3 linked regions of the Diceros bicornis minor genome follow. The protein of the gene in region 3 interacts with the protein of the main gene of each other region in a pairwise test. Links are inferred from orthologs where the notes say so. Each region holds a gene or a part of one and is shown on either strand. Other genes may lie near its edges.

Region 1 (10,289 bases), on a different chromosome or scaffold from region 3:
ATGTAACCCCTCTGTGTCTCAGTTTCCTTATCTGTAAAATGGGGGTAAACCTATAGCAAGCATCATACTTAACAGTGAAACCTGAAGTCAGGAACGAGACACCGTCAGTACTGCTTCTATTCACTCCTGTGCTAGATCCTGACCAGAGCAGTCAAACAAGCAAAAACAGACAATTTCTAGGTACAGCAATGTTCAATGGCTCCTAGGTTGACAGGACGGAGCCAGGAGAAAGACCAGAGGTCAGACAGTTGAGAGCGAGGAGTATGAGAAGGTGGGCGAGATGGCTGGTGTTCAGGTGTAGCAGAGTGGAGCGAGGTCCCCAGCACCCCCAGGCCCTGGGAGTCAGAGCAGGGGAAAGACGAGACAGTGGGGAGGCGGAGGCTGGGAAGTGACGGGGTGGGTATCCAAGCTGAGGGCGGGGTGCTCCAGAGACAGCAATGCAACGTCCATCCTGGCACCCAGCCTGGGCAACTCCCCAGCCCCCTCCCCAGAGGGGACAGCTTCCTCCACAGCAGTCTCCACCTGTAAACATCTAATCTACACTCGTCAGTATAAAAAGCTTCCGCTTTTATTAAATAAAAAGGAGGTAGAAGACAGATAAGGGAACAGGCCACGGACCCCTGCTTCCAATTACACATACAGACACACAAACACAGACACAAACGAGTAAATGACAGGGACAGTTCAGGGGACAGACTGAGGGGCAGAGGGAGGCAGCACCCTCCGGGAGTGGGCCCGGACCCAAGGGTGGGCTGAGACCTGGGCCAGGGGCAGCCGTTCTGAGGGGCTGTGCTTGAGCAGCTTGGAGATGAGGTCCTGGGCTCCTGCGGGCACAGAAGCGGGGAACTTCAGGTCCACCTACAGAAGTAGAGAGAGGAGAAGGAAGGGCCCCATTACATGCATCGTGGTTGCTTTTTCCTTGACTGCCCATGCCATTTGCAGAGTTACGTAGCCCCCGGCCTCTGCAGCCAGCGCAAAGCCCCAGCCAGGCACCCAGGCCAGCCCTCGCACCTTGACGATGCGCCGATACGTCTCGTTGTGTGAAGCACTCTCAAAGGGCGGGTTTCCCACCAGCAGCTCGTAGCAGAGGACTCCAATGCACCACAGATCCACCTTTTCATTGTGTGTGCGCCCCTCAATCATCTCTGGGGGCAGGTAGTCCAGGGTGCCACACATAGTCTTCCTCCTGGGTGGGGTGGGGTGAGTAGGCAGGGACCCCAGAGGTAGATGGCCTCTCCTTTCCCTGCTGCCCGACAGGGAGCCAAGAGACCCCAGGATGCAGCAGGGGAGTGTTACAGCCAGGCTCTGACAAGGCCTTTCAGGTAGGAGTGGGGTGAGGCTATAAACCAAAGCCCCAGAGGAGGGCTTACACGCTGCCTCAGCGTTTCCACACTGAAAAATGGCTCTCCAAATAATCAGATACGAGGGCACTGTTCACCTTAGAACTAAAGGAAAAATTGGGGACATCTCGGATGTCCATCAAGCATGCCCTGCTTAAATAAATCAGGTCACATCTCTACTATGCAATACTATGAAGCCATTAAAGATGATGTGCGAGTGTTCTCAGTGATATGGCAAGGGGGTCCCAAATATATTGATTAAGAAATCTGGGCAACAAAACTGGGTCTCTTATTTTGTAAAGATATTGCTGTGTCTATGTTTACATGAGGCCAGACCCAAATGTCTCTGGGTAACAACATGTGGAGTGGTTTTATTTTGAATGTCCCAGCCTCATACCCATGGCTGGCCTCCTGTCCCACCGTACCTCAGGGAGGGCGCGTGCACCGACCAGCCAAAGTCCGCAATCTTCAGCTCTCCCTGGAGCCCCAAGAGCAGATTCTCTGGCTTTATGTCCCTGTGAATCACCTTCTTCCCGTGGCAGTAGATCAGAGCATCTGCCAGCTCCTCCATGATCTGGGAGGGCCAATGACAGGCGATTAGACAAGGATGGACCTCTAGCTGCAAGCAGCGTACCCCTAGCCTCAGGCCCCCTGCCGGCGCTCCAGGTGCCCACCCGCCCCGACCGTGGCTGTTCGCTGCTCGTCAAAAGTGCGGCTCTTCTGCAGCTCCTTGTAGAGCTCCCCCCGGGGGGCATACTCCAGAATCAAGTAGATCCTTCGCCGGTCGTAGAAATAATTGTAGAGACGCAAGATGTTGGGATGCCTGGGAGAAGAGACAGGAGGGCTGAGGCTGCATCCTGGCATAAGGAAATGGGAAAGATGACAGGTCTCATATGGGGCAAACTGGGGTCAGACGTGGGCCAGGCCGGGGACACGAGGGCTGGCCCTGGCAAGGGGGACGTGGAGACAGCTCTCTGGATTGAGAGCTCAATGGTGCTAAATGGCCACAGCTATAGGGAAAACTCTAGATGTGGTGGGGTTGAAAGAGCTGGGGGGAGGGAGCAGGGGGCTTGGGCTCAGAGGGCGTTGGCCCGTACTGCAGATGGGCCTGGATTTCGATCTCCCTGCGCAGCTGGTGTTCCACGCCCTCCTTCTCTATCTGAGACTTGAAGAGGACCTTGAGTGCCACGATGAAATGGCTCTTCTTCTCCCGAGCCAAGTACACATTTCCAAACTTGCCTTTGCCCAGAGGACGCCCAATCTCAAAGTCATCAATCGTGAAGGACCGCCTGATTAGAGAGTGGGGGGAAGGCAGCTGAGCACTGGTTTGTGGGTTGCCTGAGGTGTTTGCTTTCCCCCTGCCCTTCAGCTCCATTTCTCTTTGAAGGAAGTTGAGAATGGATCAGGCTTTCTTGCCCCCGCCCCCACACCTCCTGCCCTTAGCTTCTCCCTCCCTCATCTCCTACCTGTTCACTGTCTCCCTCTTCTCTTGCCGCCCCAAGGCTTGGGCACTTACATTAACAAGTTGGGCGTCCCACTGCTGTTCTCCACCACCTTCTGGCCAAGGGCAGCTTGGAAAGAACAGTTAAGTTGAGGCCCTCCCTTGACATTTTCATCCCTGCACCCTCCCCGTAGACTCTAGTCCTCTCAAGTCAATCCCCTCCCCGCTGTTGCAGTTACCTGTGGGCTGGGCATTGGAGCGGCTCATGAGGACAAGTGCAGATGGGGTGACAGGCTCCTTCCGGAGGACTCTCTGGGGCAGGGTGTTCAGGCCAGACTGAGCCTGAGAAGGAGCAGGAGGGAGCTCTGAGGGTGTCTTTGTCTCAGCGGCCGGGTTGGAATGTGCTGCAAGCAGCATTTCAGTGCTTTCTATAGAGCCACCCACCCACCCATCCCCACCTCAAAGAGGAACACTGAGACAACAATTTTGCTACTCAGCCCCAAGACTCTGCTCAGAGCCCCATATTAAAATGGGTTCTTAATAAACAACATAAGTTGGCCCAAGATAAAGAGCAAAGGACTTAACGCAACACTGAACATTTCACCTCTTTGGCCCTGGCCCACACCACATTCTCAGGCATGAAGCTGTCCAACCTCTGTAGTCCTGTCTGCAACACCACTCATTTACCCAGCCCCCACCCCTGGGGGCTGCAGAGGGCTGGGGTAATGAACACCCACAATTCAAGGTGCTAAAGCACAGAGGCATTCTCATAGCCCCTAAAAAGCTCAGTCTATTAAGGCTTACACAGGGTCCTTGAGGCCTTGAATGTTGCAGCAAATATCAGTATGTACCCCTTTGCAACATCAGGCTTTAGGGACGCTGAAGGCTACTGTGATGGCCTTGGACCACTTCTCACATTCAACTTCTGAGTAATATACATAACTTCCTTTTGGGAGTGACCGAGGTAGAAGTGACAATGGTTTCTCATTCAGCCTCCACTCTTGATAGCCTCACTCAGTGCTCCACAAGGGAGGGAACTGGTGGACACAGCGACAGACGGATGCTACGGGAGATCTAAGCCCCACCAACAGGGAGCAAAGCCTGTGCAGGGCCCCTTCTTTCTTCTTTAGCCAAGAGGGGAAGAAAGCCTCAGTGCCCCTTCAAACCTGTTCCCAAAGAGTGGTATTAGAACAGAATTTACAAATAAGCAAGTTGAACAAAATAGAGTCCAGAAACAGACCCACATATATGTGGGAATCTAATATATATAAAAAAGGTAGCATTTCAAATCAGAGGGTAGACTCTTCAATGAAAGGTGTTGGGACAACTGGAAAAGAAATCAATTTAGATCCTTAACTCACACCAGTCATTAAAATAAATTCCAAATTATTTAGACTTGTCTTGAACCTGTTAAACTTATAAGTTTATCTCAATCCTTCACGAGTCTATTTCTATGTCCTGCCTAGCCTATTTTTTTCAGGACAAAGGTTGGGAATCATGGCCTGAAGGCCAGACCCTGCCTGCTCTCTCCCAGATATCATTTGTATATGACAAGTAGGCTCAGCCCTGCAGGGGTCCTCACAGGCTGGTCAGATTCGAGTTGGCAGCACCTGACAGGATGTGGCTGCAATTGCCCAGACTGGGTTCGGCCAGCAAACTTTTGGGGCCCATACGTTGGAGCATAACCGAGAAGAAAGTGCTTGGAGGATCGCCCTCTGCAGGACCTCGAATCTGGAAGTAGGAACTCGCCATGCCGGTTTGGGGGGAGCGGAAGTGGGCATGCCCTTACCGTCTGCCTGCCGTAGGGCCAGGGGTAGGCGTTCTCCTTCTGGGCCATCCTTAGAGGGAAGCGGGGAGGAGAGCTGGGCAGAGAAAGGAACAGAACCGTGAGAAGCAGAAAAAAGGGAGCGAGAGAGGGAGGGGTCGGACCCATCTAGTCGGAAGCGCTTGCCTGGGGCTGGTGAAAGGGAGCAAGTCTACACGCTGGCCACATCAGGGCGCACCCGGGCGCTCGCCTGGCCGCCCCCGCCCTGCTACCGGCCCAGCCCCTTCCAGGACCCTCTCTCCACCCTTGAGCGCCCAGCAGCCGGCGGAGTGCGCGGGCCCGCCCAACGGACCCCCGACCTGCCTGATCACCTGCCCTCTCCCGGCGCAAGGCCTGCGAAAGGAGGGCAGCTCACCTGGAGCCCGTGGCACAGCCACTCTCCTGGCCGCTGGCAAACGACTCGCCCTGCCCAGCCGCGCCCCTGCCGAGTTCCTTTCAAATCTCCCGCCCTGGTCCCATTGGCTGAGCGGGCCGCCCATGTCCAATCCTCATTGGCTGGATGTCCCATGACGTAGCCCGCGGGGCCCCAATGGAAGAGACGAAATGCGAGCCGCAGCCAGCTCATGTTCCGGATTAGAAAAGTTTCCCTTATCCCACGATCAAATATTCTCATATCTTTCAAAAAATTTTTTGAATTTTAATATATCTGGAATCTATCCTTGTGTATGTATGATCTAGGGTCTAACTTTGTTTTCTGCCAGATGGAGAGCCAGTTATGCCAGCACCATTTGTTAAACAAACGACATCATTCCCAGCGGAATTTAAATGCTACCCTTGATATATTGTCGTCGTAGATAGTTGGATCTATTTCTGGACTCTGTATTCTGTTACATTGTTTGTTTGAAGGTATGTTTATTCTTGTGTCATTAATATTTTGTTCTGTAAAGTCTTTCACTCACTTTCCTAGTAGGAATTTTCCGTCAGCGGTCCTTTCTCTGCAGGTCCCCTGACCAAGGCCGCAGTGTTTGGACCGACTGTCACTTTTCTCCTTCCTGCCACGCTCCCTTCTTCTCTGCTCTTTCCGAGCCCAAATTTTATTATTGGGTTAAATAAATACATTTTGAGACGTTCTATGAAATAACTAGTGGATATTTGCAAGTATTGCCTGTCCAGTATCCTTCCTATTACTTTGAATAATAACACCCTAACTTTGCTTTAGGGCAACCACCTGTCTGCCTGTTCTGTGTTGTCGGTTTCTGTTGCTACCGGCCCCAAATCCCTAACTTGATGGGAGACCTATTGTGGTGGACACTGTGGTTCCCTACCCAGCGTCCATTCTCCCAGCGATTCCTACTTCCTGAAAGCACCTCAAGTTTTGGGTCTCAGAGGGAAGCTGACTCCATCCCAGGTCCAGGAGTGGACCCTGTCTGATTTACAACAGTCAGCACCTTTTATGCCAGGATCATGGTCACTGGTTCGGGGATAAGCATGTGAATTAAGTGGGCCAGTTAGTGGGAATTTTAGGATTCTTGTCCAGAATGCTGAGCAGAAACTCCTTTTCTCCTGCTGGAAGTGGGCAAGGAAGCATGCAGCCCTCATTGTTGCTGGTGGTGCTCCTGAAGGGAGCAGCCTGAGAATGAAGCTCACATTGCAGAGGGGAGAAGAGAGGCCTGGGAAGAACCCGAGACTTTGAGGACATTGTGGAGCCTCTGGATGCCTATTTCAGCACTTTCCTTACATGAGCTAATAGATTTCCTTCCCTAATGCATTAAGAGTTCTGTTATTTGCTGTCAAAAGCATACCGCTAAACTAAAAGATAAAACAGCCAGTTATTTTACCAGCAAAATGGTTTTTTTCAGGAACAGCAAAGTATTGCAAGTTGGGACAAGCAAGCTATAGCAAAAGCCATAGGCAAGGCCAACAATCAAAGAAGAGGAACATTATTTTATAAGGAAAAAGGAGGAAATTAGGAGGGGCTGTTTTGAATGCAAGTCCATTAGAGAAAAACAAAAGTTCAGAGTGATGATGGTTTCTCATTGGCTGAGTTGCTCCGTAGTCGATTTCCGTTTGGGATGAAATGTTTATTTCTTTGGGTAGAGGTCTGTGATTGATGATTTTTTCTGTTAGACTTCTTTCTGTTGGGGTCTGTAATTGAGATTCTTGCCTGTACTTGTACTTGACCTTGAATGGTACTGCATGAGAACTCCCCCTTCTGGCTTCCAGACTCCATTTTAAATGAGGTTTCCCTTTATTAATTTTCACAATACTAACTGACACACATCTACAGACCTAGAGTGTTCTTAGTTATTTAGGTTGAATGATGTGAAATTGCTGATAGTCAATCATTTTGACCTACAAAAGATACCAATTTCATATGATTCAACCAAATGTAAATCAAATAAGTCCTTATGGGTTTCCAGATCAGTTCATAATGCTTTTGGCTGCAAGTAAAAGAAAACTCAGTTAACAATGGCATAAACAATAGGGATCTATTTTCTTTTCCATAACAAGAAATCAGAAAGTTGGTAGTTGGTTAGGGAACAATGTTAGAGATCTGGATTGGCCTCTCTCTGATTCTCTTGACATTTCCCTTATGAGTGCAAGATGGCTGCCAACTGTCTCTGTCTCTTTTATCAGGAAAAGCAGAAACCTTTCTACAAGTACCCAATAGATTTCTCATTGGCCAGAATTGTGTCACATGACTGCTGCAAAGGAGGCTGGTAAAGTGAGTGAGGCTGGTAAAGTGAGTATCTCTTCTAGCCACTATGGTTAAAGCAGCAAGGGAGTGTGGTGGTAGGAATACAAGTGTGCCGCAATTGCTTATAATTTCATTCTGGGGACCCCATGATTAATTTAAAAAGTCAGATATCTGTGCATGATGAGGTATCTTCAGAGATTTGATGATCATGGCCACCCTGCTGCCATTTGTGAAAAATCATTTTACTTCTGGAGGTACACTGTTTTCCCTTAGGGTCAGCTTAACCCCACTTCCCAAGATCAGGGAGCCCATTTCGACTGCGGCACCTTTATCTACATACTTGGCATAGAGGGACTAGCCAATGAAGAGCTTTATAAAAATTCTATCCCTTGCAGTATACTTTATTCCTCAAGCCCTAGTGAAGGGAGACTTTTCTGGAACCTATAAGGTGAAATAGTACATGGGTGGGATATACCTGATTGATCCAATACAGTATCTGTGTCCCCTGGAGTCTTTAAATTCTTGCTTGCACATTATGTTAGAAGATATTTGGCCTTTCAGGAATATTTGATGGGCCAGCATAAAATCAGGATTTGCATTACTCATAAAAAACCAAACCAAACAAAAACTATCTGTTCTATCAGCTAGGCAACTATCAGCTGCCTGTTCAAGTCAGTGAACAAAACCTCTGTTATTTACCCCAGTGCTTCTCAAACAATCCGTGGGGAAGGACCAGTCTTGATTATTTTCAATCTATCACAGATCAATAATGTTATAAAATACACTAAAAATGAATTCCTTGAAAAACGAAATCTAAAAAATATAAAAATTACAATCCCACATTTTTTGGTATAATCAACGTATATAAAAGTACTCTGACAAATGCTGGAGGAGTTTTTAAATGCTTACTCTCAAATTCTAAACTCATCTTGGACTTGAAAGAGACAGTCCATGAAGCGGCACCAGTCTGTGGACCACACTTTGAATACTACCAGTCTACATCCATAGCAATAAATGCGGCCCTGCCCCAAATTATGCTTTGCTCTCCTTGGTCAGGCACACTCAAAACCCACTCTCCTGCGGATATTCCCCGGGTTTATAATGATGTAAATTAGCAATTTCCTCTGAGTGTAATTCTTTTGTTTTTTCCTCTTGCTTTGCTTTTTGCTTCCCAGTTCATGTTAGATGTGGATTCTGGCTACTGGCCAAGTAACAATGAGAGGTATCAGTGAGGGGGGATTGTCACTGTTCTCCTGCCAGGGCTGAATTTTCCTGTGACTGGGAAAGGTCAGAATGTTTCGTGTTCCGAAGGTCAGGCAGGATGGCTGGGATACTATAATGTTTGTGAGGCACAGATGTCAGCCTCTTTTATTTCTGACAATGGGACAACTCAAGAAGAAATTTCAAGACATGAATTTTCATCATCAGCCAATAAGCCCCTTCCAGGGATGAGGAGTAGACTCAGAAGGGTCTGGAAGGGGCTTGCTGGGGAAGCCTGGCTAATACCTCCACGTCTTCCCACTAAGTTGTCCTCATTAAGGTAAACCTGAGGCAATGCTGCTGAATTAAGTAGGGTGCCCTCCATCCAGACTTCCCTGAGCCTCCCCAGGTCAAACATCATTGCTGGGGTTTGCTCCTGGCTATTAGGTCCCAAGTGTTGGTCGTTGGTACAAACCACAAGCCTGGACCAAATGCGTCCCTGCCACAATGGCTGAAGCCTGAGGCCCTGCCCAGGTCCATTTATGTGTCCTCAGAGATTGGATCAGCAAGGCCAGTGCCCCTTGCCAGGTGACCAGACAACAAGCCTGTACCCTATGCCTTTGAGGCATTTTTTAAAACTTTTTATTGAAGTATACATACAGAAAATGTATAGCTGGATGAATTTTCCTAAACCGAACAACCCTGTGTAACCAACACCCAGATCAAGAAGCAGAATGTTTCCGGCACTTCAGGAGCCCCCTCATCCTCCTTTACCAGTCACTATCTTTCCCAAGAGTAACCACTATCCTGACTTCTAACCCATATACTAGCTTTGCCTGTTTTGACCTTTATACAAAAGACCTTCATACAGTATGTATTCTTCTGTCTGACTTCTCTCATTCAACATTATGTTTGTGAGATTTACCCATGTTGTTGATGTATTGATTTTTAAATATACATGAACATGATAAAATTTACACAGGTTAGTTCAAAGTAAGTCTCTCTACCAACTCTAATTGCCTCGTCCTCCACTCCCATCCCCGGAAGCAAACACTGTCATCAGATTCTTGTGTGTCATTTCAGAATCCTTCTCTGTGTGTGTATGTGTATGTATGGTTATTTTGTTATCAAAATGATTCATGCAAACAAACAAACGAACAAAAAATGCAGAGTGATTGTAAAGAGGAAATTGAAAGTCCTCAGTCCCAACCAGAGGAGTTAATCAGAGGTAACTCCTGCTAACATTTTCTCATATACCCTTCCAGAACTTTCCTATGGATATTAGTCTATGTCTGTCCTTTAAAAATTGTGCAGCCATATGTACAAATATCGAATCATTATATTGTACACTTGAAACTAATATAATGTTATATGTCAATTATACCTCAATAAAAAAATTGTGCAAATGGAATAATACACCCATTGTTATCCCATTTTTAATCTGTCAATTTACCTTGGACATTTTCCCACATTAACACAGTCAAATATACCTCATTTTTATTGCCATATAGATTCTCTTGTATAGGGAAGGGGAACAGACAGAAATGGGTGGTGTCCATCAACTGATGAATAAATAAACAAAATGAGGTAAATCCATACAATGGAATATTATTCAGCTATAAAAAGGAATGAAGTACTGATCATGCTACAACCAACATAGATGAACCTTGAAAACACAGTGCCACCTAAAAGAAGCCAGATACAAAAGGTCACATATATGATTCCATTTATATGAAATATCCAGGATAAGCAAATCCATAGAGAAAGATTATGTACTGGTTTCCAAGGACTGGGGAGAGTGGGGAGCAACTGCTTCTTTATGGAGTGGTGAAAATGTTCTGGAAT
Region 2 (10,157 bases), on a different chromosome or scaffold from region 3:
TTTTCCTTTCTCGTTCAGGAGATTTCATTGCCTACCCAAATTTATACTCTCTTGATAGGATATCACAATACAGTGATTTAAGAATGATTGCTAATGATTTACACAAAGTAAACAGTGAACCCTAGTTTTCTTTTTGCTTAAAAAGAATGGGAGAGGAATAATACGAGGTCAAGAGAGTAGCATTAACAGCCTTGATAGATACATGAACACCTCTAAATCACAGAAAGAGTTTAGGGATTACTTGTTAAATCTGTTAGTCTCTCCTGGCATTCGAGGAACAAATGTATGTGATTCTTCATGCCTACTCAGTCAGGTTCTGACTTCATTCCTCCACACAGGTTTACAAAGTTAAGCCTTAGGTGGGCTTTTATTTAAAAGCAACATTGTACATTTCTATGACCCTAACTATGTAAATTCATGGAAGTACAGAAACAAGGACTTGAAAGGAACTGGGAAAAATGAAAGCAGATAATCTGTTAGGATGATGGGATTCTTGATGAAGTTTTGAGAGAGTCAGCTTTTTAATTTGATATGTTGTTGAAATACAAAACACAATGCATTTATATTGATATCTCCTTACAGGCTTTTTTTTTTTTTCCATTCAGATGACTACATGATTGTATTTCTGACAATTGTTGCACCTTATTCTAGTAGGAATCATTCACATTCACACCAGAAATTGAGGCCTAGGAAGAGCACCATAAAACTTTTGAGAACAGGTTCTCAAATTTACGGTCTGACCCCCCAGAATTTACAGAGGAGGAAACTTGCCAAGGGTGGTAAACTGAGTTAGAGGTGGGTCTAGAACCCAGGACCATCTCACCAATAGGCTCACTAGGAAAGCATATCATAGATTCTTTGATTAAAAAAGACATCAGTTCCTGTCATTTGCCAGAAACAATTTTCTGAATCCTTGAGTTATTCAAATATAATAACCAGAATTAAAATCTTTTACCTATATGGGGCAGAGTCCCATCCTTAGACTGATAAAAATCTGTGAAATCTGATTTATTTCCAGAAAGTCATATTAGCTTCCTTCTACAAGTGGTTGTAGGCTGGGGTTAAACGTGGCCAGCATTATTACAAACCAGAATGATTTAGACAATTAACTTCATCCCATATAACAAGATTTCAAAGACCAAATAATGTCCTCACTGATTTCAAGCAATAATCATTACTTCAAAATTCTAATGTCTTCTTTTATGAAATAAATATGTTTCTAAGAAGGCCTAGTTAGAGTGAATTTTTATATATCAAGTTACCGTTCAAAGGCACTAACTAGGAGAGCTAGTTCTTTCAAAGAAACCTGTAGTAGATTCTTTTATAAAGCAAATGACCTCCTATTTTCCTTTTTTTTTTAGTTCAAATTTTGTGTGTATGTGTGGAAGGGGCGACTTCGCTCCTTTCTCTGGATTAAAAGGGGTCAGAAGCCCACCATAGAGGAAAGTAATGCAGTATGGGCAGCCTGTTTAATGCCCCCTCCGTTCCTGGGACCAAATTCTAACCTTTGACTTGGGGGTGGGACCCTAGATTTTGGGCCAAAGTCCACAAAAGGCAGCAAGAAATGAAGAAGTAAGGAAGACTAAAGACAAGACATCATAGTAAACCACCAACAAAAATTCCTGGGGACAGGAAATCAATGGAGCACAATTCTAAACAAATTGGTTTAGGCCCAAGCTAATTAACTTGTCAAGCAGATCTCCAAACCCACTGAATCCATGGGGGAAAGAGGTGATGTAATAGAAGATTTGGGAACATTTACCCATTTACTATCCTAAAAGGCTCAGCCACGACCACACACACCTCTCTCCACCCCTTTCAGTGTGTTTAAGCTGGGCTTAATGGGTGCAAAGGACAATTTCTTCCAGACAGTCCCCAAGAATAGACTGTTCTCATGCATTCCAAATGCTCAGTCTCCATGGAGGAGGCTACCTGGTCACAAGCATTTCCCAAGAGGGACTATATCCTCTACTCCTCCTTGTTGGTAACACCCCCTCCCCAACAAAACAGAACAAGTTCTAACCATCCTGAGAACTTCAGGGGACTTTTTTGAGGGGGAAAGGAAAAGAAACCTTAAGAGGGGAGTAGGAGAGTGTGAGAAACTCCTCTTGTCTCCAAATGTAAAAAAGGCCTTAAAAAGCTGGATCAAAGGAAGAAAGGGGGATGGGGGAGAAGGGCTGCTTAATTACAAAGACACCCTTTTAAAGAAGGCGCAGGCCCTGGGAGAGGGCTCTTAGGAGAGGCATAGAAGCAGATGTACCCACTTAGAATTCTGGCACTCAATGGGACCTCAAGGTCATAGCATCCATCCCTCTGCTTTCTGAATAGACTGTTCTTAAGGCATTCTAGAAAGAGTCTGATCCGTTCTTTATAAAACTTCAGAAAAAGCAACTCCACAAAATGCCTTGGTTATGCACTAGTCTAATAACTCCTACTTCATAAACCAGCAATGAGATTTCAATTTCCAAATCCAAAACAGTATTGAATATGAATTTTAAAATTCCCTTCTAAAATATTTTAAATAAGTAAACAGATCCACAACTTTCACGTACAAGTTACTCTACACACGAGCATGGTCAGAGCTTTACTTCATATCGAGACTATGAAGTTAGAAAAAGCACTTTCAATTTTAAGGAGCCATAGACTTTTCCCAAGAAAGAAGTATCTTAAAATTAAGTATGATGTAGTGCCAGAAAGTGTTGGTAAATGACACCAGATAAATCCATACAGAATAGCTGGAACCTGAGTTATCATCTGTAAATAGATGCAACTACTCTACAACCACCTGGCTATTAAAATGTCCCAGGCCAGTTATAAAATGTAGTTTGGTCAGGACAACTTTTCCCTCCCAGCTGATCTGAAACACGATAGCCTTTAAAATTGTCACCCTGTAACGTTCCTTTTCTCCCTTTCTGCTTTCCTTTCCCCCATTAAAATCAATCAACAAACTTATTTAAAAATATAAGTAAATAATTTGTTTCCAAATAAGCAATGGATGGGGGACATCTTGGTAACAGGTCTTTGAACACCACTGTTCTTATAAGTTTGCCATGCTTGCCCAATTGGAGATAGGTGGGAGATGAGTGAAGATTTATCCCGAGTCCAAAATAGTGTTTCAAACTATTCTTAGCTACTAAATGAGGGTGCTGAAAGGTCTAACCAAGAAGGCTTCACAAAAGCTGGCCAAAGAAAGGACTTTTCACAAAGCCTAGTTCAAGGAGACTTAAATACCCTTAGCCCTCCATTATTGAAGATTATGGTGACTAATTCCTCTCTGAATGAGAGAAGAGAGTTACATTAAAAAAAAGTTTTCAACTGCCTCCCAACTTCTACTCTTCATGGGGGGAGGGGGAGAACTAAGTTGAACACTTCAAGGTGTCAGAAAATTCTAAAATACATGCTAAAGATTGGAAATGCTGTTTCTCACAAACTTTCCCTTTCCTCTCTCATTTAATTGTATTTAGTCCCTTGCTGCAAATTATTATTATATTATTATTAATGTCAATTTACCAGGGACTGCTCACAGTCTACAAAGACTGTCACTTTCCCTCTCTCACTTTGCCTTCTCTTCATTTTCATATATTGACAAGTTATCTTGCTGCTGAAGCACCTACATACAGTGACCCAGGCTTGGGACCCTCCAGACGTGTGCATGATCCCGCAAAACTAGTTATTAACATCTATAAACCAGAAAAGGGACAAATGCCTCCACATCACCACACACACACACACACACACACACAAACACACCACCAAAAAGAGTGTAACGCTGTAGATTACTCTCAGACTTTAAGACTTCAAGAATTCACGGGCCCCGGGGGAGGGGAGTGTGAGCCCCCACCCCAATCCTAAGCATTTAGGAGGAACGCATCTAGCAATTGGAGATAAGCAAGGACATTCCTGCTGAGCTAAATGTAGACCTCAAGTTCCCTCGGGTCTTTAATTCCTTTTGTGCTTAATTACCTAGAGATCTACAAGGACTCCAGGAGGGAAGATGTAAACGTACCATCAAGTAGTGGTACCCACTAGCATCTCCGTAGGACAGAAAAGGAGTACACACTCTTTAACCAATTTAACTTGCTGCACATCCCAGAAAACTCAAGACCAGCTGCAAAGAAAGTACAACACAGGGACATCCCCACACGCATCTAGATCGACTCACTCACGCCGAGGGCATGATCAAGTTCACGCCACCATGGATTCCTGCCCCAGTTCCCCGCGAAAAGTAACCACGCGTCTCCTACCCCTGAAGGCAACGAAGACAAGGTGACGACTCTCCGCTCGCTCAAGCGGCTTCGGGCCCGGGCCGGAGGCCAGGGATGGGCAGGGGAGAAGCCCCAACTCCCGGCTGCTCCCCTCCTCACTGCTCCGTCCGGGCTCTTCTTGGTGGCAGCGGACAGGCAGGATACCGGGCCGGAGGGTGGAGCAGCGGATGGTCGGAGGCGAGACAGACTGGAGGTGGGGGTGGAGGGGGAGGTGAGAACTAAGAGAAGATGAGGCGAAAGAGAGCAGAGATGGAGGAATAAATCAGGGGGTCTCCAGCTTGGGCAGCCAGAAAGCTCCTCGGAAGGAAGGGGCGTGACTGCGATGAAGGCAGCTCCTGGGCAAAGGATGGGAGGTAGGGGAGGGGGACGAATGGGTGGCTTTTCTTCTTGCGGTGAGCGGCTAGGACCGCCCAGGAGCGGGGAGAGGGGGTGGACTAGGGAGGGAGGCGGAGCTGAGGGCGGGGAAAGAAGGGAAGGAGCCTGCCTGGGCCCTGGGTAAGAGGGGGGATGGAAGAGAGGCGGGGCCAGGGGGCGTGGAAGTTTCAAACAATTGAGCGGCGGAGTGCGGTCGCTCGGACGAAAACGGGGGGACCTCGCTCTGGTCCTATTACTAACGTGGCACGACTCGGTTAAAGTAGCAATGAGAGTCTACGCAGGGACTGGCTAGGAGGAAGGGAAGGGTTTTGCAAAGACTACAAATAATAATCTATGGCAACAGCAGAGCGGAGGGAGAGCCAATGCAGCTCCCCGCCCCACAGCGGGAGGAAGAAAAACAAATAATAGAAATGCTGAAAAGCAGCTTCTAGCAAAGCCTGCTTAAAATAATGCAGGAAGGAGCAGCGCTCCTTGGTTTTCCTTCCCCTCTTGCTTCCTATTACCAGCAGGCCCCCACCCAGGTCATAGCTCTGCGAGACACCCTCCTTTCTTCCTCGGTTCCCCCTAGCCTCCCTCTTCCTCCCCCCTCCCCCCGCGTCCCCACCCCCCTCCCTGTGGCGGGCCGCGCTGGCGGCGGAGGTGGCGTGGGCGGGGCTCTGCGGAGCCTCCGCCTCTTGGGCGGGCTGGGGGGGGCCGGCCTGGGCGGAGCGGGCCTAGAAGAGTAAATCCCACCCATCTTTCTTTGGCAGCTACCAGTTGGCGAATCCTGGTCTAGGAATCGCTTGCGATTGGTCACGTGCGTCGTCGTTCGGCTCCTTTTGTTCCACCCGCCCTCAAAATTAATAAAACTAAACAAGAGGCTATTGTCTAGCTCTCCATTCTCCCCCAAGGTACTGCCGAGAAGAGAAAGATGAGACGCTCGGTTTTTTAGTCTCCTAAGAGTGCGACAGTGTGTCGGCTGGCTCCCGTACACCCTTATGGCACTATCCGGCCCTCTGAGAATAGGTAACTTTTCTTCCCCCCCTTAATTCATTAGGCCAGGAGGGGGAAGAAGTACGTAAAGTATCAATGTGGTGTTCACATTTCCTGGCTGCGAAAAATTGATACTGCTTAAGAACACAGAGGGTTGAGAACAGCATCCTGGGACACTGAAAATCTACCATTTTACATCTGGGAAACGAAAGCACAGAGAAACAGTGTAGGGGTAGCAGAGTAACATGAAATTTGGAGCTAAAGGAAGAACTCATTTCAGACTGGAGCACTTATCAGCTAGTTGTGAGACTTCTGTTGAGTCGCTTAACTTCTCTGAGCCTTAGTTTTCCTATCTGTAAATAAAGGCTATAAGCATGCCCTATTAACTTAATGACACTGGTATATGAAAATAAAATGAATTGTGTGTGAACACTCTGTGAACCACAAAGCACTCCACACATGTATGTGTTCCTACTTGTGTATGTCACATGGTGGAGAGTCTCATGTGTTTGAGAATCAAATATTCTCCTTATCTGTTTTAAGCATTTACATCCAAGGTGTATAGGTTTTGTGGCTTTAATAAGTCAACTCTTTTCCTACAGTTTTGGGGGTGGATATGAAGTTGGCTGCCTGCAGTTAGAAGAATAAATTACCCCTTTTCTAACCAGGGTGGGTGAGATTTCTTTTTTAAACAGTTCTGCAGTGGCGCCACAACCTAAATCTATTGTGGTGCTGGTACTGAAAGAGGAAATCGTGCTGTGTCTCCGAAGTGAACTTGAGAAAACAAATATGAGGGAACATTTACCATGGAAACCACCATTCTCTACAGATCCATATTTCCTAGAAAACGTTACAAGGAGGAAGCAAGTGTAAATGTAAAGGCCTTGACAAGGCAGAGCTATTATAATGAACTCAGGCCAATGAAAAAGTGACATTCAATTCAAGCCTGCTTAACAGGAGCCTTCTGAGGGTCCATGGATCAAGGCATGCAAGAGGAAGTGTGCTCAAAAGAAACACTATCTCAGCATGAACAGGGTCTCGGAATATAACCAGGTGCAGGAAAAGTAGTGGGCCACTGGCGTGTTGGGGGGTAGCCCCAATGTGCAGAGTGCTCTGCTGGGGCGGCTGAAAGATTCAGAAGCAGGAGCGTGGGCAAAATGGATTCTCGGAATGATTCAGCTTATGTGTGAGGTGAAGTTATTTGGGTGATTTTTCATGGGGAAGGTGAGATTTTTGAGTGTTAAAGACACGGAGACACTTGGTTTGTGAAGCAAGGGAAGATTATTCCAGCCTTGTTATTTGGAGGGGTGGACAGCAGAGCTAGATAGGATGGGTATAGGCTGCAGACTACTACTGATCACAATGGCAACATGATACTTGTTAAAATTAACAATGCTGTTAAAATGGAGAAAGTAAAATGTGCACAGGATAAAATTAAAACAGTACTGAAAGGAGCACAGTGAAGAGTTCCTCTCCATCACTCCGTTCTCGTAGTCCCTTTCTCCCTTTCTCTCTATGCCTGTACGCAATCTTCAAAATATATTATTTGCATACATGTATATATTCCATTTTTGCCCCTTACAAGTGGGATCATCAATCACAGCACACCTTGCTTTTCTTTACTCAACCATGTCTCTTAAATATCCTTCCATCTCAGGATAACTTCCTTTACCTCATTCTATTTCATGATAGCTCAGTGTTCCATTGCTTAGATGTGCCAAAATTCTTTTACTCATTCTCTTAGTGAAAGGTGATTTAGGCCATTTCCCATCTTTTGCCATTACAGAAGATGCTGGGAAACAAATCCTAGTAGCAAAGGCCCAGCGGCTGTGTTTGTAGAATGCTTGCCCCCAGCCTTGCAGTTGCCTTCAAAAGACTTTTCCAACCTGCCTTCCCCACAGCTACTAGGGCCTTCATACAGTGGAAACCCCTAAAACACTAATTCCTTTAATACCCCCTCCTCAAATCCTGCCTTGGTCACTACTGTTCTCCAAATTTGAATTTTGATAGAGTAGAGCGACCACAGCTCTGAATTTAATGGTGGACCAGGCTGCATGTGGGTCACTTAGCCTGTGGCAAACAACAGGTTTTTTGGTACCTCAGCTTTGCCCAGGTCTTCTAAGCGTCTTAGGTGTTCCTTCTCTCCTGCCACGCAAGACTTCCTTTTGTTTTTACCCTGAAAACCCTGCAGTTTGTTTAAACTGAGTTTGAATTTAAAGCTATGCTTTGCCAACTCTGCTTCAAAGGAAGGGGGAGGGGGAGGCCAACATCAACAAACATTGATAGAGCTGCTATTATGGACGGGACTGTAAAAACAAAGAGGGATGAGACTTGACTCCTGCCTTCAAGGGCATATACAGAAAAAGACAACTAACAAGCGCATGCTAAGTGCTAAATGAATGGGATTGACAGTAAAAGCCGTGGAAGTTGAGAGCAGGGAGTGAAAACTAGTTCCAGAGAGTGAGTTTATACAGCAAAGTATGCCACACACATTTAACTAATCCCCACAGCATCCCTGTGTCTTCATATCCTGACTGTAAAATATGGAGAAGCCTCTGGGGTATACCAGGAGAATTAACCACTAGCTGTAAAACACCTGTGTAAAGACACTGGGTTGCCTAAGTGCATTAAGAACCTCCCCAGGGGGCCGGCCTCATGGTTTAGCAGTTGAGTGCCCGCGCTCCTCTACTGGCGGCCCGGGTTCGGATCCTGGGTGCGCAGCGGCGCACCGCTTCTCCGGCCATGCTGAGGCCACGTCCCACATACAGCAACTAGAAGGATGTGCAACTATGACATACAACTACCTACTGGGGCCTTGGGGAGAAAAAGGGAAAAAAAGGAGGAGGATTGGCAATAGACATTAGCTCAGGGCTGGTCTTCCTCAGCAAAAAAAGAGGAGGATTAGCGTGGATGTTAGTTCAGGGCTGATCTTCCTCACAAAAAAAACAAAAAAGAACCTCCATATATTGATAATGGATATAATGATCATTTTAAGGTTAGAAGTCAAGAGTCTCCATCCTAAACTATCTGTCCTGTTTGGCTTTTTTTCAATAAAGTGCAATTCTTCCTTTAACATACAATAAAAATCAATGTCTGTGCTCTAAAAACAACAACAAAAAAGTCAATCAAAAAAATCAATGTCTCCCTTAAAAACATTATGCTAACTGAAAGAAGCCATTTGTCCACAAATGGACAAATATTGTATAATTCCACTTATATGAAATACCTAGAATAGGCAAATTCATAGAGACAGAAAGTAGCATAGTGATTATCAGGGCCTAAGGGGAGGGAGGAGTGGGGAATTTGTTTAATGAGCACACTTTCTGTTTCAGATGATAAAAAAGTTCTGGAAATAGATAGTGGTGATGGTTGTACAACATTTTGAATGTACTTAATGCCACTGAATTGTACGGTTAAAATGGTTAAAATAGTGAATTTTGTTATGTGTATTTTACCACAATAAAAAAATGTTTAAAGGTAACAACTCTCAGGCTCAGCGTCAGGAGACCAGACAGTGATGGAGGCTACTAAGAAGAAGGCAGGACTCTCATAAAGGGGGCAGCTCAGTCAACACCATGAGAAATGCAGGCCCAATGTGGCCAGGACTTCTGACTTTTCAGGAGAAACCACAAGTCAAATGTATTAATGTAAAATCTCCTGGTTAATAATTTAGATAACTAATAAGTGTTTTAATTAAAAAAAAAAAGTCTTCCCTTTGCGTGCAAGATTTTTGCCCAATATACAGGAAAAGTAGGAAATAGAACACGGCTTATAGTCTGTTCCTTAATCCCTGGCTAGGTTCTTCTAGAAGGAAAGACCACAAAATCATAGTGGTCTGTATTGAATGACATTCTCCCCCACCCACCAAGTCAACTGGGAGTATGAAATGAGCACATCTTCCTCTAATTGCCTGGTGAACAACTAAATCATTTTAATGCATTTAGAAACAAAAGCAGAGGCAAGCACGTACACAAGGGAACATAAATCCTAAGTATTTATGGCTCCACATAACTCTCCCCTCCCTCCCAAAAAAAAACACCCTGCAAATGTATCAGGCAGACACTGAAAAGCAGACTTCTCCAGGACACCTCCTAAGTCAGTTTCCTATTTATTCACAAGGATGCTAGACCTGCACATGCAGAAGCCAGCTGATCAGAGAATATCAGCTTTATCTGAACAGGAAAGGAACAAAGGGACACATATGCAGTACAAGCATTGAGTTAAATACTCTTCCTTTTGGATCCCCCACCTCCCCCCTTTCCACCCTTCCCAAGCATATAAACACACACACATGCGTGCACACGCACACACACGGTCCAGACACAGGAAGTTTGAAGCCTGATCCATGTGTGGAAAACAGCAATGTGGGAATTCAGGAAACAACACCAGAACTGTGCTCCAAGGCCAAGACCTGCTCCAGCATTTGGGAGCCAAGTTACTCCTGGGGTACTTGTGGGCCCCAGCATTTTGGAAGTAAATCGGCTGTAGAAAAATAAAGCTGCCTGCAAGTCTATTCCCCAAGTACCTCCTAGGGTCCTGTTTGAG
Region 3 (9,671 bases):
TCTTCTGGATTAGTTGCTAAGGATCCAGACAGAGTGAATCAGTCAGGGCTCGGCCCTCTGGGGAGACAGAGACAGCCACAAGTAAGTGTGACACACAGCATTGGTGCTAAAAATGTAGCGTAATGGGGATAAACAAAGGACTTGGAGAAGCCAAGGGAAGGGATAATTACACCCCCCACCCCCACAGCAACCCTTCTTCCTGCATTTCTCATCAGGCTGAACAGCCCTATGGTCTTAGTTAAAACTTGGAACTCCTGGGGCCGGCCAGGTGACATAGTGGTTAAGTTCACGCGCTCTGCTTCAGCTGCCCGGGGTTTTCAGGTTCAGATTCCAGGCATGGACCTACCACCGCTCATCAGGCTATGCTGTGGTGCCACCTCATATACAAAATAGAGGAAGATGGGCACAGATGTTAGTGCAGGGCTAATCTTCCTCAACAAAAAGAGGAACATTGGCAATGGATGTTAACTCAGGGCCGATCTTCCTCACCAAAAAAAAAAAAAACTTCAGAACTCCTCCCTCTCTCACTCTTCACAAGTATATCCAATTGGTTTCCAAGTCCTTCCTATCGATCAGAAAAATTGGTCCCCTTCTCTCTGCCCCCCACCCCCTGCCCTTTCCTGGGTTCAGACTCTGATCAGCTTCTCCCTGAGTTATTCAACAGCTTTAAGAAAATAACATGTTTATTCACTTATTTATTGTATAATCAACACATATTCTCATAGAAAAATTAGAAAACACAAGTGGATTAGAAAAATTTACATCTAATATCACTACCATGATAGAACCCCAATTTGATTTTTATCCTTCTAGATTTTCTCCCATGCCTATACATATAAATATATATTTACAAAACTAGGATCATCCAATAACTTTGGAAATCTTTTTTCACTTCATGTGTTCTCTAGATCTTTCTATTATAATAAATACACATCTACATTATCATTTTTATAGATGCTTAGTATTTAGCTTGTTTCCTAGTCCTCCCTGTGATAAACAAGGCTGAGCTGGGATGAACATGTTTGTGGTACTATCACTGTGCGCTTGTCCAACCATTTCCTTGGGCCCAATTTCTATAAGGAGAATTACTGAGTCAAAGGAAGTCACATATTTAAGGCACTTGTGCATATTAACAAATCATCCTGTAGAAAAGGCTCTTGGCTGGTCTTCGTGCTAAGTGTAGAGATGACACGAATTAATAGTGACACAATATTCCATTTACATGCTTACTAACTCCAACAAATTATGCCCCATCATTCATATGATAAGGTTTGCGGCCTGTCTGCTTGAAGAAAGGAAGGGCCCCCCTTGAGCTTCCTATGGGGCAGTGTATGGTGGACAGCAGTTTTCCCATTTAACAGTCATCTGGATTAGTTCTTTTTCACCTTGCCCTCATGTCTTCATAACTACCTATGCCCCCATCAGACATCCCTGGAGGGGCTTCTGTATCTTTAGATCTGAGTTCAGATTCAGACCTAATAACTCCAGGCTTCGTCTTCTCAAAGTCAGAGCCAGCTCTGCAAGTGAGTATGGTGTGTGAGCTGGCCAGCCTTTGGGGGAGGCTCCTCCAAGGGCAGCTGGCTCTTTGCCGTTTGGTACCCTCTTACCTCTGTTTCCCAGCACAAGTGCCTAGCACATGGTGGATCCCCAGGAAATGTTTGTGGAACAAATGAATAAACTTACCATTCTATCTCTAGCTTCCACTGCTTTCCTATCATGTAAACTCATGACACATTAAAACATAACTATGCCTTAGTTTCCTGAAGATAGGTCTTAATCATCTTTGGATCTCAAACTTCTGGCATATAATAGGTTTTCAATTAGTGTATGGTCTGCTGTTCATTTCATTCCCTCTGCCTGGAGGTCTTCACTCAGCCCTCACTTCAGCCAGGCTCTAGACTTTGCTGAAATCTTAGCTGTCTTGAAAGGGTCAGCTCAAAAATGCCACCGTCTTCCTTGGTTACTCCAGCCAAAAGAGTAATAGCTGATATTTTTTGCTAAGTGCTTTACATATATCAATTCTCAACCATTCAAGTTAGATACTATCATCCCCATTTTACAGTTCAGGAAACAAAAGTAACTTCTCCAAGGTCAAACAGTAGTAAATGACAAGGCCGAGAATCTAACTCTGCATTAATGACCTTAAAGAAAGTGTCCACAGCCACTAAACTCTACAGAAGGTATCTTTCTCTGCACTACACTCCTTGCATATCTTGGTCATAAGGTTAGTACAGAATATGTCACATCATCTGCACATCTCCATATTCTACTGGACCGAGAGCTCTCTGAGGAGTTTCTTTGTATTTCCAGGGCCTAGACGGTGTCTAGATATTGGTTGGTGATCAATTAAATATGTATTGATTGATATTATGGTCCCTGTTTCTATCAGTGTCTAACATCCATACATACCAGGCACACAGAGCCATGCAGGCTCATTCCCACAGATTAGAACCTTTCCTCCTCTCCCACACCATCTTGAACAGATCCATGTAACTCTCATGTCCTCACAGTCCTCTATTTTTCAGGAATTGTGTGCTTGCCCCTTTAAACTGGTAGCACTCTAAGAACAAATCTTACATGTGTTTGATCTCTTTATGCCAAACTGTTGGCTTAGCACTGAGGTGCTAATAAATGTGAATTAATATATAAACCTCTGCTACCCCTCTCCATCATTAGACCGGCTGCAGGCATTTCCAGGCACTCCCCTCTCCCCAAAGGCAACTTGGGATCATGCTTGTGATCAACTTGTGATCTGCTGGAACACAGCCCCAGCCAGGGCCCCACCAAGCTGGAAAAGAGGGTTTAATGTTTCAGCCTCTCCCTGGGCTTGGCCTTTGTAGGGCTGTGGATCTGTCCCTAGCCTCCCCATGGCCTTTTTCTTTGTGTTTCTGTCTCTTTGTCTCTGCTTATTTCACTCTTTGTTCCTCTGCCTCTGAGCCTATTTCTCCCCCGGCTCCCTGCCTTTTCTTATAGCTCCTCTGACTCTGCTTCGATGACTTTATATTTCTACATCTCTGTCTCTGGCGGCCAATCTTTTTCTCCTGTATTTTCAGTCTGCCGCTGTCTCTCGGTTTCTCTCTGCCTTTGTGTCCTCTCTGACTAAGGGCTCCTAGGTTATGACTTTATGTCTGTGAGTCTCTATTCTGGGCCCCAGGTCTGATTCTATCCGCCGGCCTCTTCCCAGCATTTATCTGGCGCCAGCCACTAGCCTCTCCTCCTGCCTCGGTCTCCCCGAGCCCAGCCCACCCCCGGCCCCACCCCCAACCCTCGGCCTCTCGGACCGGCCCCGCTTTGTTTCCAGCGTCTCGGCGCCCCGCCCCCGCCCCGTCTGGGGTCTCCGCCGCCCTCTGCCGCCCTTTGTCTGCCTTGATCTTTCCCCCACCCCTTTCTCTGGGTCCGTCTTTGGATCTCTTTGTCTCTCCAGGCTGGGGTGGCTGGCGCTGTCGGCCAGCCGGGGAGGTCGGCGCAGGTAGCCCCACAGGGCGACCATTAGGCAGCGTCTTCGGCCCTCATCACCCAGCTCTAGCCCAGGAGGCACACGGTTAATACCACCGAGTTCGGGCAACTGTTCCTCGGCTTAGAGTAGCCCTCTCCGCGGCACGCGGCCGCCCGCCAGCCACCGAGCTCGGGAGGACGGGAGCGGCCCCCACAGGCGTGCGGCTCCTCCGAGGTCCTAGAGCGGCTCGGTGCGGCCCAGCGCTTCCGCTTCCCGTCCCCGCCCCCGGCGGCCGCCCCCGGGACGCCTGGGTCCGAGACCCCTCCCGATTTGGCGCGGATCCCGCGTCCCGGAGCCGCCAGCGGCTCGGGCACCGGAGCCCAGCCGAGGAGCTCTGGAGGGCACCGGCGTGGCGGAGCCGGTGGTGGCCGGGAGGTGAAGGGGCGGCTGCGTGCCGGAAGGAGCAGCAGGTGCAGTGGCGGACGGCGGCGCAGGCGGGGGTCACCAGGCGCCGCGCCCCGCACCTCGGACCCGGACGCTGCCCGGTGTCCGCGCCGGTCGGCAGAGGGCAGCGGCAGGGCGCCGCGGGCCGCACATGCCTGTGTGACCGTGGGATTGTGTCTGTCTCCTTGCTCAGGGCGGCGTGCTGGCGATGGAGCGCGCGGTGGAGCCCTGGGGCCCGGATCTCCATGGCCGGGAGGAGAGGGAGCAGCTGAGAGGCGCCCGCACAGGTGAGGGCGCGGCGGTTCGCCGCCGTGGGCAGGTAATGGCTGGGTGGGGACCCCGGTGTTGGTTTTACCTGGCCGAGACCCAGAAAAATCGGATATGAACTGTGCTTCCAGAGAGAGAGGGGGAGGGGAGCAAAGGCCAAGGGAAAGAGCCAGTGTTTCTGAGAACCTACTGTGCGCCAGGCCTTAATGGGCGTCATCTCAAGGATTCTCCCCTTCCCGGACAGTCATCACCATTCGCACTGCCTCTGCCCTACTTCAAGCCTCATTCTGTCTCATCCTGGCAATTGCAGCAGCCTCCCCTCAGCCCTTTTCTTTCCAGTGATACACTCTACAGCCACACTGATCTAAGTCCAATCTAATCCTGTCTCCCTTCTCAAAAACCTTCCCTACCTCCCTTCTGCCCACTAATTAAAAGCCTTACCCTAGTGTTCAATCCAGTCCTTACATGCTTAATCTAGTCCCAACATCCCTTTCCAGCTTAATCTTCCATTCCTCTCCATGGTTTACTCTTTTCTCTGCTGTGAAAGCCCAGCCTTGTCTCCTTATTTCCTCTCTCATGACAGCACAGTTATTCTGAGCCAACAGTTATAATTACTTATGCTTTATTTTATCTCTCCTACCAACCCCAAGCATCTTGAGGGACAGGTGTGTGCTGGGTCCTCTCAGATACACACAAGATGATTGAAGTAACAAATTACAGAATGGGCTAATATGAAAAGATAAAATATAAATAGCAAATACTAGTTTTTCCAAATAGAGACAATATAATGTAGTGGTTAACACAGGCTTGGGAATCAGACCTGAGTTAGAAACCTGGCTTTGCTACTTTCTAGCCTTTATAACCTTGAGCAAGTAACTTAAATTCTCTGAGTCTTCATGTCTGTAAAATGGGGATAGTAATAGTATTACCTCGTAAGATTGTTTGCAAGCATCCAGTAATGCTTAGTTCAGTGATTGGCACATATTAAGGGCACAGAATAAGGAAGTTCTATTATTAATAAGAGGCACAAACAATAATAAGTGCTTCAGAAGTTCGGAGGTGAGAGAGTGAGAGAGAGCTTTGTGACCTCAGATTGTCAAGGAAGCCTTCCTGGGAAGGTTGCTATGGAAGATAGGGGCTGAGCTAAAGGGCAGGGTCTACGACTTCCTTTTCTTTCCCCAGGTCTAGGGAGTGAGAATGTGGAGCTTTCTCACCCGGATGAGTTTGAACATACCCCACAGGAGGATGACTTGGGGTTCAAGGAAGAGGAAGATTTGGCCCCAGGTCATGAAGTAGGAAATGCCTCTCTCAAACCGGAAGGCATCCAGACCTGGGATGACTTGTGGGTCCAGAGAGAGGGGCCAGGAAAACCTCAGGCTCGGGACAGAGGCCCCCGGCTGCTGGGAGAACCACGCTGGGGCCAGGCTAATGATCGGGCTGCTGTGTGTGGCGAGTGTGGCAAGAGCTTTCGGCAGATGTCAGATCTAGTGAAACACCAGCGGACCCACACAGGGGAGAAACCCTACAAGTGCGGGGTCTGCGGCAAGGGCTTTGGGGATAGCTCTGCCCGTATCAAACACCAGCGAACTCATAGTGGTGAAAAACCCTACAGAGCCCGACCACCAGCCCAGGGCCCCCCAAAGATTCCTCGATCCAGGATCCCTGCTGGTGAGCGCCCCACTATCTGTGGTGAATGTGGCAAGAGCTTCCGGCAGAGTTCTGACCTGGTGAAACACCAGCGGACACACACCGGCGAGAAGCCCTACAAGTGTGGCATATGTGGCAAGGGTTTTGGCGACAGTTCTGCCCGCATAAAGCACCAGCGGACACACCGGGGGGAGCAGCCACCCCGGCCTGTGATGCCCCGACGGCAGCCATCTCGAGCAGCCACGGCAGCTGCACAGGGACCTAAGGGCCAGGACAAGCCATATATCTGCACCGATTGTGGCAAAAGGTTTGTGCTCAGCTGCAGCCTTTTGAGCCACCAGCGCAGTCACCTGGGGCCCAAACCTTTTGGCTGTGATGTGTGTGGAAAGGAGTTTGCCCGGGGCTCAGACCTGGTGAAGCACCTGCGGGTGCACACAGGAGAGAAGCCCTACCTGTGCCCTGAGTGTGGCAAGGGCTTCGCTGACAGCTCTGCCCGGGTCAAGCACCTCCGCACCCACAGTGGCGAAAGGCCTCATGCCTGCCCGGAATGTGACCGCACCTTCAGTCTCAGCTCCACCCTTCTCCGCCACCGCCTCACTCACATGGAGCCCCAGGACTTCAGCTTCCCAGGCTACCCTCTGGCCCCCCTGATCCCCAGCCCACCCCCCAGCTCAAGCCCACCCCCACCTCCTCTTGGCACCAGCCCCCCGCTGACACCTCGAAGCCCTTCACACTCGGGTGATGGGCCTTTTGGCCTGCCTGGTTTGGAGCCAGAGCCTGGGGGCCCACAGGCTGGGGAGCCGCCCCCACCACTGGAGGGTGACAAGCCCCACAAGTGCCCTGAGTGTGGCAAGGGCTTTCGCCGAAGCTCAGACCTGGTGAAACACCATCGTGTGCACACAGGGGAAAAACCCTACCTCTGCCCTGAATGCGGCAAGGGTTTTGCCGACAGCTCAGCCCGCGTCAAGCACCTCCGCACCCACCGTGGTGAACGGGCTCGGCCACCACCACCATCCACTCTCCTGAGGCTGCATAACCCCCCTGGCACCGCACCCACAGCCCCCCGACCCCGGGTCCGGGCCCAGCCCTCTGTACCCAGCCAGCCCCATGTATGTGGCTTCTGTGGGAAGGAGTTCCCCCGGAGCTCAGATCTTGTCAAACATAGGCGCACACACACTGGGGAAAAGCCATACAAGTGTGCAGAGTGTGGCAAGGGTTTTGGTGACAGTTCTGCCCGAATCAAGCACCAGCGTGGGCACCTGGTCCTGAGGCCCTTTGGGACAGGGGATGGTCGGGCAAGGCCGCTCAAGGAGGAGCCACTAACAGGACTGGAATGATGGGGTCTAGGGAGGGTGGAGGCCCAAGAGACCAAAGGGAGGGTATCTGCTGCTTAAGCAGAGAAGAATGGGCCTGGGAGGTAGTGGGGGGGAGAAGGAGGGGAAGAAACGGGAAAAAGGAGTGAATAGATAGAAATAGAGATTGGAGACAATGACCTTGAAGCTCAGGAAACTGTCCTGGCTGGGCTCAGGCAGGACCTTGCCAGTGTGGTCTATACCCCCAGCTTCTAGAACATTGCCTAGTACACAGTAGGCACTCAGATACATTGAATGAATCCACTGGTCTTAGCCTGAGGGCCTTTAACCCTAAATTACTGCTGCCTCTTAACCAGTTAAGAATTGATCCCTCCCAACCTTGCCCCTGGGAGACCGGCACCTGGAACCAGGGTTTGTTTGACCTTATGAGCTGCAACAATGAGACTTCTGGAGTTTAGGGTGACAGAATGAGGCAGGGGCATCTTGATCATCCTTCTGATAGGGAGAATATTACTGTGTGGCAGGCAGTACCCAGCCTCAGGACACTGGACATGGTCTTAGCCAGAAAGGGTGCTCTTGGACAGAGCCCAGACCTATCTGCCCTGGAGAACCCCAAACCACCTTGACACCTGGACATGGCAGCATAGACCAGGATGGCAGAAGGAGCACTCATCTGCTCCGAATGCCAAGCCCAGGTCCTTCTGGTGGATATCAGCAGAAACAAACTGGCTGGGAAAAGCGGAGGACTGGAGTGAGGAGAGGCCAGAGAAGATCCAAGGCCCAAAAGCCACATCTCCATGTGTCTCCTCACCAATAAACTGCTTCTTGTCTGAGGCTTGGACTCTATTTGTGTGTGAGTGCATGGTGAAAGGTGAAAAAGGTGAATGGTCAACACAAGTGAAACCCATAAGCCATGTGTAAACTTGTGTGGGTCCCTTACCCTCTTTGCGCCCGTCAAATACAGAAGTTCGCTTGGCATAGTCAGCCACTTTCTAGCTCTGACATCGGCTTAAAAAACGGCCACCAAGTCTGTCAACTGATGCCCCTGACCTGAGTTCTGGCTGCTCACAGGCGCCACCTATGCCACAGCAATGAGTGCGACCCTTAAAAGGGAAAACACGCGACGCCACGGGGTGGGAGGGGTGCTCAGTGAGCGCTGTTGCTATGGCGACAGGTACCGGGAGAAATGTGGCCGGCCGGTCTGGTACAGGCGGCCGGTCTGGCACAGGCGCAGAAGGCCCGGACACTGAAGCTCTGCGTACTGGGAAACGCCACCTCCCCGAGACTCTTTATTTGTCGAGAAACAGGTCATTTGGCTGCACAGCCCAAAGGGAGGGCAAAGGGGATGCCTCTTCGTCCCCTGGAAAGGGTAACCGTATTTCCCAGCGACCCGTGCGTCATTAGCAGGAAGACTCCCAATCCTAGCCTTTTCCGAGGTGGGCGCCAATAGGGGGGAAGGGGAAAGAGGAACTGACCTGATTGGCCAGGGACAAAAAAGACTAGGGCGTTCACCCCTCTAAGAAAATAAGTACAGGATCGCTTGGCAACTTCTCGGTCGGGGTGTCTCAGCTAATCTGCGTACAGGAATGGTCCCTGGATAGAAGCTCTCGCGAGATCTTAACCATCGGACGCTTCCCTAGAAACCAATGAAAACCTGCTGCCGTGCGGTTCCTCCTGGTGGTCCCACCCCTGCCAAATTATACACACTAGAAATCCAGAATTTTTCGTTCAGGCCTGGGGTTCTTGGCGGCTTCGGTCCTTAAGTGCACACACACCCCTAGGCCTGAATGGAGGCCTTTTGAGCCTTTGGAAGATCCTCTCTGCTGGTTTCCGTGTCTCCCTTCCCTACCAGGTCAGTCTCCAAGCCGTTCTGCAGTGAACTTTGTAAAATTACATCTGACCATGTCACTCTCCTATTAAAAACCCTGCCGTATCTCGGCATATCTTCTCTGTAAAATGCAACTCCTTAGTTGGCATTCAACGCCTTCCACTTGTGAGGTTTCAGCCCTGTGCCTCTTAAATGTTTCCTTTACACACCCCACCCCCACCCCACCCCTACACACACATTTGTTGACCTCTCCAGTCAAAATACCTCAAGCATTACTTCCTCCCAGGAGCCTTCTAGCCTGGGTTAGAATCTCCTTCATCTGAGCACTTAACACATGGAGACTTCTTGAGGATAATTATTCATTCATAACATCATTACTCACTGTGTGCTATGTACTAGCAATAGAAGGATGAATAAGACAAAGTCTCTGCCCTCAGTTTTTATGCAGAAGATAGACATTGAACAAATAATTACTAGTGTAGTAGGGACTATGCAGGAAGCATACATGCAGGAAGTTTGCATGCAGCAGAGAATCCTGTGGATCAGAGAATCCTGTGATCCAAAGTCCTCTCCAAAGAAGTGGCAATTATGTTTAGACCTCAAGACTGACTTGGAGTAAGCTAAGAGAGGAGGAGGTGGGAGGTGGGATGGGAGATGGACTGTCCTAGGCAGAGTGAAGAGTATGCACCAAATCCTTGGGGGATTCAAGAACTGAAGTAAAGTTTCAGTGGGGCTG

The links.
Region 1: the proteins of SEPTIN1 (region 3) and AURKB interact in binary tests that used the Homo sapiens proteins (3 or more experiments, as listed by UniProt). The link is inferred for Diceros bicornis minor from reciprocal best matches to the Homo sapiens genes SEPTIN1 and AURKB.
Region 2: the proteins of SEPTIN1 (region 3) and AMOT interact in binary tests that used the Homo sapiens proteins (3 or more experiments, as listed by UniProt). The two-hybrid records come from large-scale screens. The link is inferred for Diceros bicornis minor from reciprocal best matches to the Homo sapiens genes SEPTIN1 and AMOT.

The regions. Positions count from the first base shown.
Region 1 is NC_080757.1:10,204,594-10,214,882, reverse strand, and holds the start of AURKB (aurora kinase B), read right to left. Parts: upstream 4,635-10,289; 5' UTR 4,619-4,634; coding exon of another isoform or gene 4,571-4,618; intron 3,948-4,570; 5' UTR 3,646-3,947; coding exon 3,633-3,645; intron 3,186-3,632; exon of another isoform or gene 3,124-3,185; coding exon 3,021-3,123; intron 2,912-3,020; coding exon 2,807-2,911; intron 2,630-2,806; coding exon 2,438-2,629; intron 2,164-2,437; coding exon 2,025-2,163; coding exon of another isoform or gene 2,015-2,024; intron 1,915-2,014; coding exon 1,766-1,914; intron 1,187-1,765; coding exon 1,012-1,186; intron 859-1,011; coding exon 685-858; 3' UTR 1-684. UniProt on the Homo sapiens protein: Serine/threonine-protein kinase component of the chromosomal passenger complex (CPC), a complex that acts as a key regulator of mitosis.
Region 2 is NC_080781.1:104,577,733-104,587,889, forward strand, and holds the start of AMOT (angiomotin), read right to left. Parts: upstream 4,635-10,157; 5' UTR 4,245-4,634; intron 1-4,244.
Region 3 is NC_080765.1:21,501,539-21,511,209, reverse strand, and holds the start of SEPTIN1 (septin-1), read right to left. Parts: upstream 4,034-9,671; coding exon 3,961-4,033; intron 3,907-3,960; exon of another isoform or gene 3,831-3,906; coding exon 3,621-3,830; exon of another isoform or gene 3,523-3,620; coding exon 3,247-3,522; intron 1-3,246. Other genes in the region: ZNF48 (zinc finger protein 48), read left to right, coding at 4,089-4,167, 5,330-7,131. UniProt on the Homo sapiens protein: Filament-forming cytoskeletal GTPase. May play a role in cytokinesis.